2 linked regions of the Notamacropus eugenii genome follow. The protein of the gene in region 2 purifies or fractionates together with the protein of the main gene of each other region. This does not show direct contact. Links are inferred from orthologs where the notes say so. Each region holds a gene or a part of one and is shown on either strand. Other genes may lie near its edges.

Evidence for each region.
Region 1: the proteins of SLC16A11 (region 2) and EMB purify together in Homo sapiens (co-immunoprecipitation; 3 studies listed by BioGRID and IntAct, counting the BioPlex papers as one, with this or other methods). This does not show direct contact. The link is inferred for Notamacropus eugenii from reciprocal best matches to the Homo sapiens genes SLC16A11 and EMB.

What each region holds. Positions count from the first base shown.
Region 1 is NC_092875.1:413,021,260-413,028,376, forward strand, and holds the start of EMB (embigin), read left to right. Parts: upstream 1-4,087; 5' UTR 4,088-4,235; coding exon 4,236-4,329; intron 4,330-7,117. UniProt on the Homo sapiens protein: Plays a role in the outgrowth of motoneurons and in the formation of neuromuscular junctions.
Region 2 is NC_092873.1:78,938,087-78,945,098, forward strand, and holds SLC16A11 (monocarboxylate transporter 11), read left to right. Parts: upstream 1-4,489; coding exon 4,490-4,754; intron 4,755-5,052; coding exon 5,053-5,196; intron 5,197-5,288; coding exon 5,289-6,050; intron 6,051-6,176; coding exon 6,177-6,409; 3' UTR 6,410-6,454; downstream 6,455-7,012. UniProt on the Homo sapiens protein: Proton-linked monocarboxylate transporter. It catalyzes the transport of pyruvate across the plasma membrane.

The sequences.
Region 1 (7,117 bases), on a different chromosome or scaffold from region 2:
AGCATTCCTCCCTTCCCTTATCCCCATCTTCTCTTTTGTCCTGTAGGGCAAGATAAATTTCTATACGCCATTACCTGTATATCTCATTTCCTAGTTGTGTGTAAGAACAATACTCAACAGTTGTTTCTAAAACTTTGAGTTCCAACTTCTCTTCATCCCTCCCTCCTCACCAACCCCCACTGGGAAGGCAAGTAATTCAATATAGGCCATATCTGTGTAGTTTTGCAAATGACTTCCATAATAGTCATGTTGTGTAAGACTAACTATATTTCCCTACATCCTATCCTGCCCCCTATTTCTTCTACTCTCTATTTTGACCCTGTCCCTCCCCAAGAATGTTGACTTCTAATTGCTCCCTTCACTCATTGTCCTCCCTTCCATCATACCCCCTACCCTGCTTATCTACTTCTCCCCCACTTCCCTGTATTGTAAGATAGGTTTTCATACCAAAATGAGTGTGCATTTTATTCCTTCCTTTAGTCGAATGTAATGAGAGTAAGCTTCATTTTCTCTCACCTCCCCCCTTTTTACCTCCACTGAAAAGTCTTTTACTTGCCTCTTTTATGAGATAATTTGCCCCATTCCATTTCTCCCTTTCTCCTCCCAATATATTTCTCTCACCCTTTAATTTCATTTTTTTAAGATGTGATCCCATCCTATTTGACTTACCCTGTGCTATCTGTGTGTGTGTGTGTGTGTGTGTGTGTGTGAGTATGTGTAATCTCACCAACTACCCAGATACTGAAAAAAGTTTCAAGAGTTACAAATATTATCTTTCCATGTAGGAATGTAAATAGTTCAATTTTAGTAAGTCCCTTATGATTTCTCTTTCCTGTTTACCTTTTCATACTTCCCTTGATTCTTGTGTTTGAAAGTCAAATTTTCTTTTCAGCTCTATTCTTTTCATCAAGAATGTTTGAAAGTCCTCTATTTTATTGAAAGACTATTTTTTCCCCTGAAGTATTATACTCAGTTTTTCTGGGAAGGTAATTCTTGATTTTAATACTAGTTCCTTTGACTTCTGGAATATCATATTCCACACCCTTCAATCCATTAATGTAGAAGCTGCTAGATCTTGTGTTATCCTGATTGTATTTCGACATTACTTGAATTGTTTCTTTCTAGCTGCTTGCAATATTTTCTCCTTGACCTGGGAACTCTAGAATTTGGCTACAATGTTCCTAGAGGTTTCTTTTTTTGGATCTCTTTCAGGAGGTGATTGGTGGATTCTTTCAATATTTATTTTGCCCTCTGGTTCTAGAATCTCAGGGCAGTTTTCCTTGATAATTTCATGAAAAATGATATCTAGGCTCTTTTTATGATTATGGCTTTCAAGTAGTCCCTTAATTTTTAAATTGTCTCTCCTGGATCTATTTTCCAGGTCAGTTGTTTTTCCAGTGACATATTCCCCATTATCTTCCATTTTTTCATTCTTTTGGTTTTGTTTTGTGATTTCTTGATTTCTCATAAAGTCATTAGCCTCCATCTGTTCCATTCTAATTTTGAAAGAACTATTTTCTTTAGTGAGCTTTTGAACTGCCTTTTCCATCTGGCTAATTCTGCTTTTGAAAGCATTCTTCTCCTCATTAGCTTTTTGAACTTCTTTTGCCAGTTGAGTTAGACTGTTTTTAAAGGTGTTATTTTCTTCAGCATTTTTTTGGGTCTCCTTTAGCAAGGTGTTGACCTGCTTTTCGTGCTTTTTTTGCATCTCTCTCATTTCTCTTCCCAATTTTTCCTCCACCTCTCTAACTTGATTTTCAAAATCCTTTTTGAGCTCTTCCATGCCCTGAGACCATTGAATATTTATTTTCGATGTTTGGGATACAGAAGCCTTGACTTTTATGTCTTTCCCTGAGGGTAAGCATTGTTCTTCCTCATCCAAAAGGATGGGAGAAGATATCTCTTCACCAAGAAAGTAACCTTCTATAGTTTTATTTTTTTCCCCTTTTTTGGGCATTCTCCCAACCAGTTACTTGACTTTTGGGTCTTTTGTCAAGAGCAGGGTATACTCTGGTGATCTGTAAGATCTCAGTTCCTCCCAAGTGGCACAATCAAGCATGTACACTGGTCTGGGAGTAGGGGGAGATTTTTGTGTCTAGAATCTTAGCAGAGTTTCCTCTTCACAACCACCTCACCTCCAGTGCCACCAAGACAGCATTGGGGGCTGAGATTCAGATAAGATGTGGGGGCAGGGCTGCCATTTAATGAGCGATAAAGATCTGCCACAGGGCCTTTATACAGAGTTGAGGTAAAAATCAGCTGTTCAGCACCCCCAGGGGTTTTACAATCCAACAACACATGCGGGCTGCTGTAGGGGCTGCTATGGGAACTGCTACTGCCTGCCCGATGAGGTCTCTGAAGGTTGCAGCCTGAAGTTGGAGCTATGGGAAGGTCCTTCTCCCTTCTTGGCCAGCTGAAAAAACCCTCTCACTGACCTTTGGCACCTGTGGGTTGAAGGATCTGTGAACCACTGCTACTGCGACTGGAGATTCCACCCCCAAGCCCTGTTCATGTCCTCCTAGAGTTGTGCCATGCTGAGCCAGCCAAGGCTGGGCTGGGCTCCACTCTGCGTCCAGTGTGACAGACATTTCCTATTGGCCTTTCAGGTCACCCTGGGCTGGAAATTTCCTCCACTCTGTTGTTCTGTGGCTTCTGTTGCTCTAGAATTTGTTGAGAGTCTTTTTTTACAGATATTTTATGGCTGTGGAGGGAAAGCCAACATACGTGTGTCTTTCTACTCTGCCATCTTGACTCTACCCCCTCTCTAAGAACATCTTTACTAGTTTCAAGTCAAAGCAATTTTATATATATATATATATATATATACACACACACATATACATATTCATATAGATATAGACATATACTTATACATGTAAACCTTTTAGTAGGGTGCTAGATTTGGTCAAAATGACTTGATGTCTTTGAATAAGTTAAAAAGAGATCAGACTTTTGGGGGCACAGGGAGCATAAACTTCTTTTACCCATGGAGATTATCATTGGCTTTACAATTTATAATTTTAGAAATGTAGGAATCTTGTGAGTTACCAATTAAGAGGTTCTTCCACATTTTGAAATTGCAGCTGCTGCTACCGCTGCTGTTTTTGTTGCTGTTATCTTGCTCTGTTTTCAAAGAGGACCGATGACATCATGGAGTGATATCTTGACTCATACTTGAACTGGATTTAAGTGAAGGAGAGTTGCTCTTCCTGAGTCATTGAAGTTAAAAGTCAGGATGACTGGTGATGGCCTGTAATGAAGTTAATGACCTTGGAGGGGCAAGTGTAGTAGTCATGGAGAGCTGGAAAAACTAGAGAAACCTCAAACCACAAAAGGGCTTGAGGAGTAAGACAAGGCAAAGTCAGTAAAGGGCATCAGCAAGACAGATCCTCAGATTTGCTGAGGAAAAAACAGAAGTATGGATCAAACTTCTTTTCAGGAAATGAGTACTTTTCACTTCCTGAATATATGCCAATTGTATATACCACTTTTCATGGTATTGTGTTATATTCTCCAAGTCTCTTAGACAAGCAACAATCTCCCCCTCAAAAACCAAACAAAAAAGCACTCTACCCAACCAGTTTTTAACAATGGTCTGATATAATGGAGAATGCTAGATTGGGAATCATGATTCTTGGGCTCAAATATTGTCTACAATACTTCCTAACTCTGGGGCCCTTGGCATGATACTTTATGTCTCTGAGTCACAGTTTCCTCTTCTCTAAAATGAGGTTAACACTATTATCATTGGTTACCTCACAGGTTTGTTGTAAGGAAAGTACAGTGCTTTTCACAAAATAGAAATTTGATAAATACATTTTGGATTGATCCGAAGTGAGGTATTTGGGACTTCAAATATGTTTTTCCATAGTAAAAAAAAAAGGGTCATAAGTGATGTAAGTTTCCTAAGCTGGTCCATAAAAACCTATTTCACTCACAACACATGAGATCTATAGTAGCAACAGAATTGTAAACTCTAAACCAACTCTGTTTCATCATATTGTGTCCACAGAGACAAGTGTTCTAAGTTCTAACTCTGAATTCTGAGAACATCTCTCCTTTTTTTTATAGTCATAATAGCACGTCTATGCCAGCTTTCTCAGTCATCTTAGAGAGTGAAAAAGGAAGGTATCTGACTTGCAGTGGCAATTATAAGAAAAAAAGCTATATTTACTGATTTGCAACAAGGAAGGGTCCCTACTTGGTGGAGAGGGACTTGAAGCAAGACTTATGTCATGGTAGCCAATTCCATATATAGACAAGACATTCACAAGTTAAACATTTATATCCTGAAGACTTCTTTAATTTTTGGATTATTTCATTTTGCAGGTATGTGATCATTCATAGCCAAGTCTAATTACATGACATGTAATGCAGAAAAATTTGTAAATATTTTGAAAGTTTCAGGGATTTCAGTCCATAAGTTGAACAGCGTTCATGAGATACAAAGAACCATTTTTGTGGCATTAAAATGGACCGAATATGTAACCTGAAGCAAATGTATAGCAGGAGTTGTTGTGTTCGTCCTTCGTTGCTGAAGAAGACCATGCCATCAGAGAAATGACATGACTTTCACTTAACTTTGTTTTGAGTGAGGTAGAGCTGTGCAGGTCACCAGCCTCACTTCTCCTCCAGAGCCATCTGAATTCAGTGACTAGATATTCATCAGGATGACTGGAGATGACCCAGGATGAGGCAATTGGGGTTGTGACTTTCCCAAGGTCACACAGCTAGTGAGTGTCAAGTGACTGAGGTGAGATTTGAACTCAGATCCTCCTGACTCCTGCACTAGTGCTCTATCCACTGTATCACCTAGCTGCCCCATAGCAGGAGTACTCTAGCACACAAACAGTGTCAGGTACTAGAGATAACTACAAATAGTTTTGATAAAAAACCCAAATGAACCCTAGTTGTTTTATGTCAGCAGAATATTTCGTTCCACACAGAGAACTGAACTAGATACCTGTGTGAATTTTCCATGGAGCAGGCCTCATTAGTGTATAAGACTTTTGTACAATATTGGGTAATCTTTCAATTACAGTAGATGAGAACTTCTCAAATTACTGAGGTTCAGAACTATTTCTGAATTCAAAGAATGATAGAGTTGGCAAGGACCTGCAAGATCAGTTAATCCAACCATCTCATCTTACACACAAGGTAGCCAGCTCCTAGAGATGTTATAGGACGTATCCAGGATCACATACCTTCTTAAGTGGCACAGCTAAAACTAGAATTCAGACATCCTGACCCCCAGTGCTTTGCATTATTACTCACCATGTCATGCATCAAACAAAGATTTATTTTTTTGTCTCTTCCTTGTAAGAGGGCTACAGACATTGCAGACATAGGTGATTCTGCTTTTTGGATTGCCACATTAGGGATTGGTAGTCAGTCAATCCATCGACAAGCATATATAGGTACTAAGAACCTATTATATTCCACCGTACTAGGCAGTGGAACTAAAAACATAGGGAAGGAAAAAAAATCGCTATCCTTGACACACACCCCCTACACATGTGGAATAAATGTAAAGAGAATAAGTACAGATTGGGGGTGGTGAAGAAGCACGGTTGTTGGGATAATCAGGAAAGGTTTCAAGTGAAAAAAGTGGTGCTTTAGATGCATTTTGATAGAAGAGAGGGATTGTGTGAGGCAGAGATGAGGAAGGAACTGTGTTATAGGCATAAGGGACATAAATGTGAAAGCCTAGAGATAGAAGAGGAACTGTTGTGATTGAGGTATATGGAAAAAAGCACTTTAGTGGGATCTAAAGATTGCAGGAAAAAATAACATATAAGGAATCTGGAAAGATAGCTTGAAATGGGCTTTTAAAAAAGGAAGCTTTCTGATTTGGATGAAAATTACAAGAAGCAATTATATAAGTTACTGACTGCTAGCAAGGAAAGAGACCTGATTTGGTACAGAGAGGCATAAAGTGAAACCTGGGACGTGGTCAACACTATATATAGATTGATTATATTAAAATGAAAAGGTTTTGTATAAGCAAAATCAATGCAGTTAAAATTAGAAGAAAAGTAGAAAACTGGGAAAAACTTTTCACAGCAAGTTTCTTTGATAGAGCACTTGTTACTCAATTATGTAGAGAACTGAGTTAAATTTATAAGGATGCCCATCATTACTCAACTGATAAATGGTCAAAGGATATGAATCGGCAGTTTTCAGATGAAGTAATTAAAGCTATTTTTAGTTATATGAAAAAATGATTTAAATCACTATTCATTAGAGAAATGTAAATTTATAAAGCTCTAAGGTACCACTTCATACCTATCAAATTGGCTATATGACAGAAAAAGAAAATGACAAATGTTGGAGGGAAAATTGGAACACTAATGCATTGCTGGGGGAATTGTGAACTGATTTAACCATTCTAAAGAGCAATTTGTAACTGTGCCCAAAGGACTAAAACACTTTATATATCCTTTGAACTACCAATATTACTGCTAGGTTTGTATCCCAAAGAAAGTTTTTTTGAAAAAGGAAAAGGACTTATATGTGCAAAAATATCTATAATAGCTCTTTTTGTGGTGGCAAAGGATTGGATTGGAAATTGAAGGGATCTCCATCGATTGGGAAGGGGCTGAACAAGTTGTGATAGAATACTATTGTGCTATAATAATGATCAGGATGCTTCAGAAAAAACCTGGAAAGACTTACATGACCTAACGAAAAGTGCAGTGAGGCAAATCAGGAGAACACTGTACACAGTAACAGCAATATTGTACAGTGGTCAACTATGATGATCTAAGACAATTCCAAAGGATTTATGATGAAAAATGCTGCCCACCTCCAGAGAAAGAACTGATAGAGTCTAAAAGCAGATCACAACATATATTTTTTAGACTTTATTTTTGTTGTTTTTTGGGGGGAGGTTACAGGGGGGGGTCTAAGTTTTCTTTCAAAACATGGCTAGTATGGAAATATATTTTGCATGAGTGCACATGTATAATCTATATCAAATTGCTTGCCATCTCAGGGAGGAGGGAGGAGAGGGAAGAAAGGAGAGAATTTGGAACTCAAACTTAACAAAAAAAGAATGTTAAAATTATTTTTCCATGTTGTTGGAAAAAAATAAAATATTAAAAAGAACACTGTATAC
Region 2 (7,012 bases):
AAAGGGAGTAGGTTTCCAGGCAAATATAGACCAAAAAAAAGTCAACAAGAGAAGGCATATCAGTGGCAGACTTCATAATCAGGGGTTTGATGGGGGAAGGGCTCTACCATAGGGCAGTGTCCTCTCTGACACTTGCAATAATTGTCACTGTTCTATGAGTGAGACACAATAGAAAGGGGGAATCCATGGGGTAAGCCCTACAAGGCAGTGGTAGAAAGCACCCAAAGGAGAGAGCCTAGAATGGATACCTTGGAAGCTTTGATTTTATGAAGAATACAGAAAAAAGAGAGAGACCAGATAATTATAGGGTCTAGAGTAAACAAAGAGAGAAGATGGATAATGATTGGTTGGTTGTTGTACTTCCTTCTCAAAGAGGACCAAAATGACATCACTATGCTAGAGTCAAGTTTCAATGTGTCCAACTATGGCTGATCAGACCTATAGAAACTCGGAATACAGGTCAGACACAAATAGTCCATGTGGACATTTTGGGTGGATACTTTAAATTTGTACAGCCTGTGGATACTATAAATTTACACAGCAGACCTGTCTTCCTTGTCACACAATCAGTTCCAAAGTTCTTGAGAGAGACGTTGAGAGTCCTTGTATCGCTTCTTCTGACCACCATGCCTGCCCTGTGTGAGTTCTCTATAAAACAGTCTTTTTTGGCAAGCATATAAAACATATGCATTTGAACAACATGGCCAGCCCATTGGAATTGCCCTCTCTGAAGAAGAGTTTGAATGCTTGGCAGTTTAGTTTGAGTAAGGAGCTCAGTGTCTGGTTCCTTATCCTGCCATGTGATCTTCAGAATCTTCCTAAAACAATTTAAATGGAAGTGATTCAGTTTCCTGGAATGCTGCTGGCAGACTGTCCAGGTTTCACAGGAATGCAACAATGAGGTCAGCATAATGGCTCTGTAGACTTCAGTTTGGTAGTCAGTCTAATATCTCTTCTCTCCCAAACTTTCCTTCAGAACCTCCCAAACACTAAGCTAGCTCTGACAATGTGTCAACCTCATTACAATGTGTCAACCTCATTATCAATGTGTATATCCCTGGAAAGTACACTACCAAGGCAAGTGAACTTATTTATAGCATTCAAAACTTCTCCATTTGCTGTAACTGATGTGGTTCCACATATGAATGGTGTGGTGGTGGCTGATGGAGCACCTGTGTTTTCTTGGTGTTAATTGTTAGGTCAAAATTAGCACAAGAAGCACAACTTTGTTGCCTGTCAGTTTCAGAGGCTGTATCGAATGCACAATCATCCGCAAACAGAAAACCATGCACCAACACTCCCTCCACCTGGATCTTGACTTGTAGCCTTTTCAAGTTGAAGAATTTACCATCAATGTGGTAGCTGATTTTGAGAGAAAAGAGTGAGAGAAATTCTTTTTGAAAAGGGACACAGTGGGGAGGGAGGGATGAAGAGAAGTTGGAACTCAAAAGTTTTAGGAACAACTGTTGAGTACTGTTCTTGCCACTAGGAAATAAGAAATACAGGTAATGGGGTATAGAAAGTTATCTGGCCCTACAGGACAAAAGAGAACACGGGGACAAGGGAAGGGAAGGATGATAGAAGAGAGGGCAGATTGGTAATAGGGGCAATCAGAATGCTCAGTGGTTTGGAGTGGGGAGAAAATTTGGAACCCAAAATTTTGTGAAAATGAATGTTAAAAGTTAAATAAATAAATTTTAAAAAAATGAAAAGGGACACAAAAACAAAATTTCAAAACTAAGGAACAGGATTAGTTGAAGGGGAGGAGAGGAAGAGGGAATCTTTTTCTAATTGAGAGGGGGAAAGAAATACATAAGTACACAAAAGCAGGACAGAAAAATGAACTAATAAACAAAACCCTAAAGGGAAAAGTGTATCAAACAAGAACAGGGAATCAGGGATGAAAGAACCAGTGGGAACAGGGCCTCCTTAAAAATAGATTAAAGTAACTGGAGGAATATAATACTGTGTTTACAGCAGAAGAGGAAACTTGAAACCAAAAAGCTTCTGCACAATGTTAATGCATCCAGGATAAGAAGGGAAGTGGTCAAATGGGGGAAAAAAATCTTTGTATCAAATTTCTCTGATAAAGGTTTGGTATCCAAGATATATAATCAATCAATAAATATATGTAAGACTAATTGCCATTCTCCAGTAGGTGAATAAACATAAACAAACAGTTCTCAAAAGAACTGCAAGTTATTCACAACTAAATGAAAAAAATGTTCTGAATCACTAATAAAAAGAAAATTGCAAATCCAAACAATCCTGAGGTTTCACCTCTTACTCAGCAAATTGGTAAAAATGACCAAAAACGTCAACAATAAGTGTTGGAGGAGTTATCCAAAGACAGGCACACTGATACACTGTTGGTGAAGCTTTGAAGTGGTACAACCATTTTTGAAAGAATTTGGATCTATGAAAATAAAGTGGCAAAAATGCCTGTATCTTTTGAACCAGAGAAACAGTGGTAAACTTATACCCCATGGAAGCCATTGAGAAGGGAAAAAAATCCCCATATACTCCAAAATATTTAGAGCAGCACTTTTTGTGATAGCCAAGAATTGGAAATAAAGTAGATGCACAACATTTGGGAACGACTAAACAAACTGTGGTGCACTACTGTAATGGAATATTACTGTGCTATAAGAAAGGATGTGTGTGATGAATACAGAAAAGCATGGAAAGACCTATGTGAACTGATGAAGAGTGAATTAAGCAGAGCCAAGAAACAATCTATACAACAATTATGACAATGCAAATGGAAAAACAACACACCAAAAAATCAAGAGTAAATATAATAAAATTATAAAGCTCAATCAGAATGCAAACAAAGAGATAAGAAAAGACATTTCTATCCCTTTGTGGAGATGCTAAGTCCACTGGTGTTACACATTGTTCACATTTTGGATTGATCTGTGTTGATTTTTTTTCCTCTTCAAAAAGTACTATTTGTCACATGGAATGGTTCTCTGGGAGGAGGAGGAAGAGGGATACCTGGGATACTATGGTGATGGAAGAAACAGAATATAAAAATAAAAACTTATTTAAAAACATACAAGAGAGCTAAAAGAAGTTCCAAGAGGGGATTACTGAATTAAACTTAATATATCCTTTTTTTAAAAACCAAGGTATACGTAATAGAGATTTGGTCATATACTTCCATTTATCTGTTCATTGTTTAAAGAAAGTTCATGTTTGTTGACTTTTGTCAAGTTCATAATAAGAAATTTTTTTTTTAAAGAAAGGGTTGATAATTTTTGATGGAGAAGGGGAGGTGGTTCCCTGGAACTGGCCAAGACACTTTTCCTCTGGGTTAAATTTCCTTGTCTATAAATTGGACAAGGGGTTTGGGAGGCAGGTTCTACTAAATAATTTCTAAATTCGTGGTGCAATGGGACTGGAGGGGTTTTGAGGACAAGGATATTAGAGAGTGGAGAAAAGGTATTCCAGTACAAAGAGTGATGAGATAATGCTTTCTTCTCTGTGCGCATTTCCAGAATTGGAACTTTAGAGACAGTCAGTACCTCTGCCTTACTAATAATCTGTGCCCACTTCATCATTCACACAGAATGCTCTGAGTGGAATAGCTCAATAAAGTTAATTGCTTCACCCACTCCTGAGCTGGGCAGTGGGTACTTAAAGACCTGATTTTTAGGTTAGAATGATATGGTGATATTTCAAGTCGGCCTCAGTTTCCTCCTCTTAAATAATAAAAGTGTTAAACTACATGACACTTACCTCTAAGATCATTCTTAGCTATGCCTAATGTCTTATTAATCTACTTCTGCTCCTGGACCAAAGGTGCATTCTGGGCTTTGTAAACCACTGTATTCTTTCTTGCTGAGACAAGAGCAGGTGAGTGGATGTATGAGAAACTGGAAGGGACTTCCCTCTCTTACAAGAGAAGTAATTCAATCACCGTGGGACTCAACTCCTAGACTTCCTGTTTTTCTCCTGTGATTGGCTGGCAGCCCTGGTCCATCCCCACTCCACTCTGTTGTACCTTCTCCTTCCTCCTCTTTGCCCAGGTGGCTTGGTCCCTCAGGGTAACTTCTGTTTACAAAGAGAGAACACTCGTCAGTTCTATTGCTATTCTCCCTTGCCAGGCTTCTGACCTCCTCCAGGCAGAAGTGGGAAGAGGATCATCGTTGTCCTCCCCATCTAAACAGACAGAATGCTGAGGGTAAGTGAGGGGAGAAGGAAGGTTATTGATTAAAAGATGGAGTGTTGTTGGGGGAGGGCTTCCCTGGCACCCAGATCTCTCCTCTATCACTCCTTCATCTCCCCATTCCTACCAAAAGGAGCTGGGTATTTGGTTCCAAGGTTCTAGTAGCCCCTCTTCATCCACTCCAGGCTCCTTTAATGGCTTTTCCTTATGACCACAGGGGTGTTCTGTCCATGGGAAGACTGGAGGGAGGCAAATCCTAAAACCTAGTCTTTAAGGAGGAGCCAAGCCAGAGAGAGGGGTGAGAGTGATGGGGTTCTTATGATCCTTTTCCTCCTCTGCTCTTGTTTTCTCATTTCTGTATTTCTGTTCCAACAGATGAAGAAGTCTCCCTCACTGGCCAGGCCCCCTGATGGGGGCTGGGGCTGGGTGGTGGCAGGGTCTGCATTTGTGGTGAACGGGCTCTCCTATGGGCTGCTCCGCTCTTTGGGCCTTGCCCTCCCTGCCTTCGCAGAGTACTTTGATCGAAGTACCCAGGACACTGCGTGGGTCAGCGCCATAGCTCTGGCTGTGCAGCAGGCTGCCAGTGAGGAGGGCCCTAAGCAAGCTGGGATGGGGGGAAGGGAACAAGATGATTTTTAAGGCTTCAGTAAGGATCAAAAGGTAGCCCAGAAGATATAGCACAGGGCAAAGCTAAGAAGAGGGCCAAAGAACTAATCCAGCTACTAGCCTAGAGGACAAAAGTGGGTGGCAGCATAGCAGAAAGGTGGGTCCCATAGGGTTTTTTGGGGGGACAGGGATGGTTAGGTGAGGGAACCTTGCAAGGCAGAAAACAAACATAAGTGGGACATGCTAGAACTGACTCTAATTCCCATCTCTCCCAGGCCCAGTGGGCAGTGCTCTGAGTACCCGTTGGGGGGCACGTCCTGTGGTGATGGTGGGAGGTATCATCACTTCCCTTGGCTTCATTCTCTCTGCTTTTGCCAGCAGCCTCCTGCACCTCTACCTTGGCCTTGGCCTCCTTGCGGGTGAGGTGGGAGAGGGAGGGAAGTGCAGTACCTGCATTCCTTGGGGGAGGGAAGGTCAGAGTCATTGACTTCAGTTGCCCTCTTTTCTGTAGGCTCTGGCTGGGCTCTGGTGTTTGCCCCAGCCCTGGGCACCGTCTCTCGATACTTCTGCAGGCGCAGGGTCCTGGCTGTGGGGCTAGCCCTGACAGGCAATGGGGTGGCCTCCTTGCTCCTGGCCCCAGTTCTGCAGCTCCTCCTTGATGCCTTTGGCTGGCGAGGTGCCTTGCTCCTGCTTGGGGCCACCACCCTCCATCTCACCCCCTGTGGGGCCCTGCTCCGGCCTTTGGCTCTCTCTGGAGATCCTACTACCCCATCTCCTAGTCCCCTCAATGCTCTTGGTCTCACCCTGTTCACCCACCCTGCCTTTGCCGTGTTTTCACTGGGGACAACCTTGGTGGGGGCTGGTTACTTCATTCCCTATGTGCACCTTGCCCCCCATGCCCTGGACCTTGGGCTTGGAGGATATGGGGCTGCTCTGGTGGTTGCTGGGGCAGCAGTGGGGGATGCAGGAACCCGACTGATCTCAGGGTGTCTGGCAGACCGTGGCTGGATCCCTCTTCCACGGTTGTTGGCCATGACTGGGGCACTGACAGGACTGGGGTTGGTGGCAGTGGGGCTGGTGAAAGAGGAAGAAGAAGGATGGGGGGGAACCCTACTGGCAGCAGCAGGAGCCTACGGGATGAGTGCAGGTGCATTTGCTCCCCTGGTATTTGGTGTCCTGCCTGGTCTTGTAGGGCTTGGGAACATCTTGCAGGCCACAGGACTGGTGATGATGCTGATGAGCCTGGGGGGCCTCTTGGGCCCACCACTTTCAGGTAAGGAAGTCAGGCACATAGGATGATTTGGTCCCTTCCTTCCTCCCCTCTCCACCTCGAGTTTCTACTTTCCCTTGGGGAGAGAAGTTTTTAATTTCCCCATGCCTCTTCTCTCCTGTTCCACAGGTTTCCTCCGGGATATGACAGGTGACTTTAAAGCTTCCTTCCTTGTCTGTGGCTCCTTCATCCTTTCTGGCAGCTCCATCTACCTGATGCTCCCTGGAGCCCTGCCTCCCTGTCACTCTGCTCCTCCTCCCCCGACTCCAGCTCCTCCTGAGCAGGGAGAGCTCCTTCCTATACCTGAAAGTGCCCTCATCTCCCCAAGAGATCCTCACTCTGTCCCAAATACCACTTGTTGACTCCTTTTTCTTCCCTTTTCCCTCCAAATAAAATTACTGCCAACCCCCCTTTTATCTATGTTCAAACCCTTTAAGCAACTCAGACAGTTGCAGAAATTATAAGTGGGAAGAAGAGGGATGAGCAACCCTATATTATTAGGATAGAGGGAAGCCCCAAATTGAGGGTACCAAGTATGCGGGACAAGGTAGATTTCCTTTATTCTCCCTAACTTCTGTAGGAGGTTGGCCTCCTCTCCACCCCTACCTTGGGTGGTACCAAGGAAAGGTACTTTGGTTTTGAGCAAGAATGATGTCCCTATGCTGAACCCTAAACATCATGATCTCTTCCTTCTGCTCCCTTCCCATCTTCAGTTTCTTTCCCCACTAGTACCCTATGACATTTTACCAATTAATCCTTTCTTTTAGTCTGGGGAACCCAAGGATCCTGTTGGCATCTCTCAGTCCTCCCTCTCAAATCTTGATTCCCTCTTCAGAAAAAAAGGTGTCAAATATTTAAAAAGGACCTATAATACAGAGAGCAAAGTCTGACCTGGCATAGTCCAGGACAGCCCAGCCCTGGAGATTGGATAAACAGGAATTTGCAGTACTCAGACCCCTGATCTC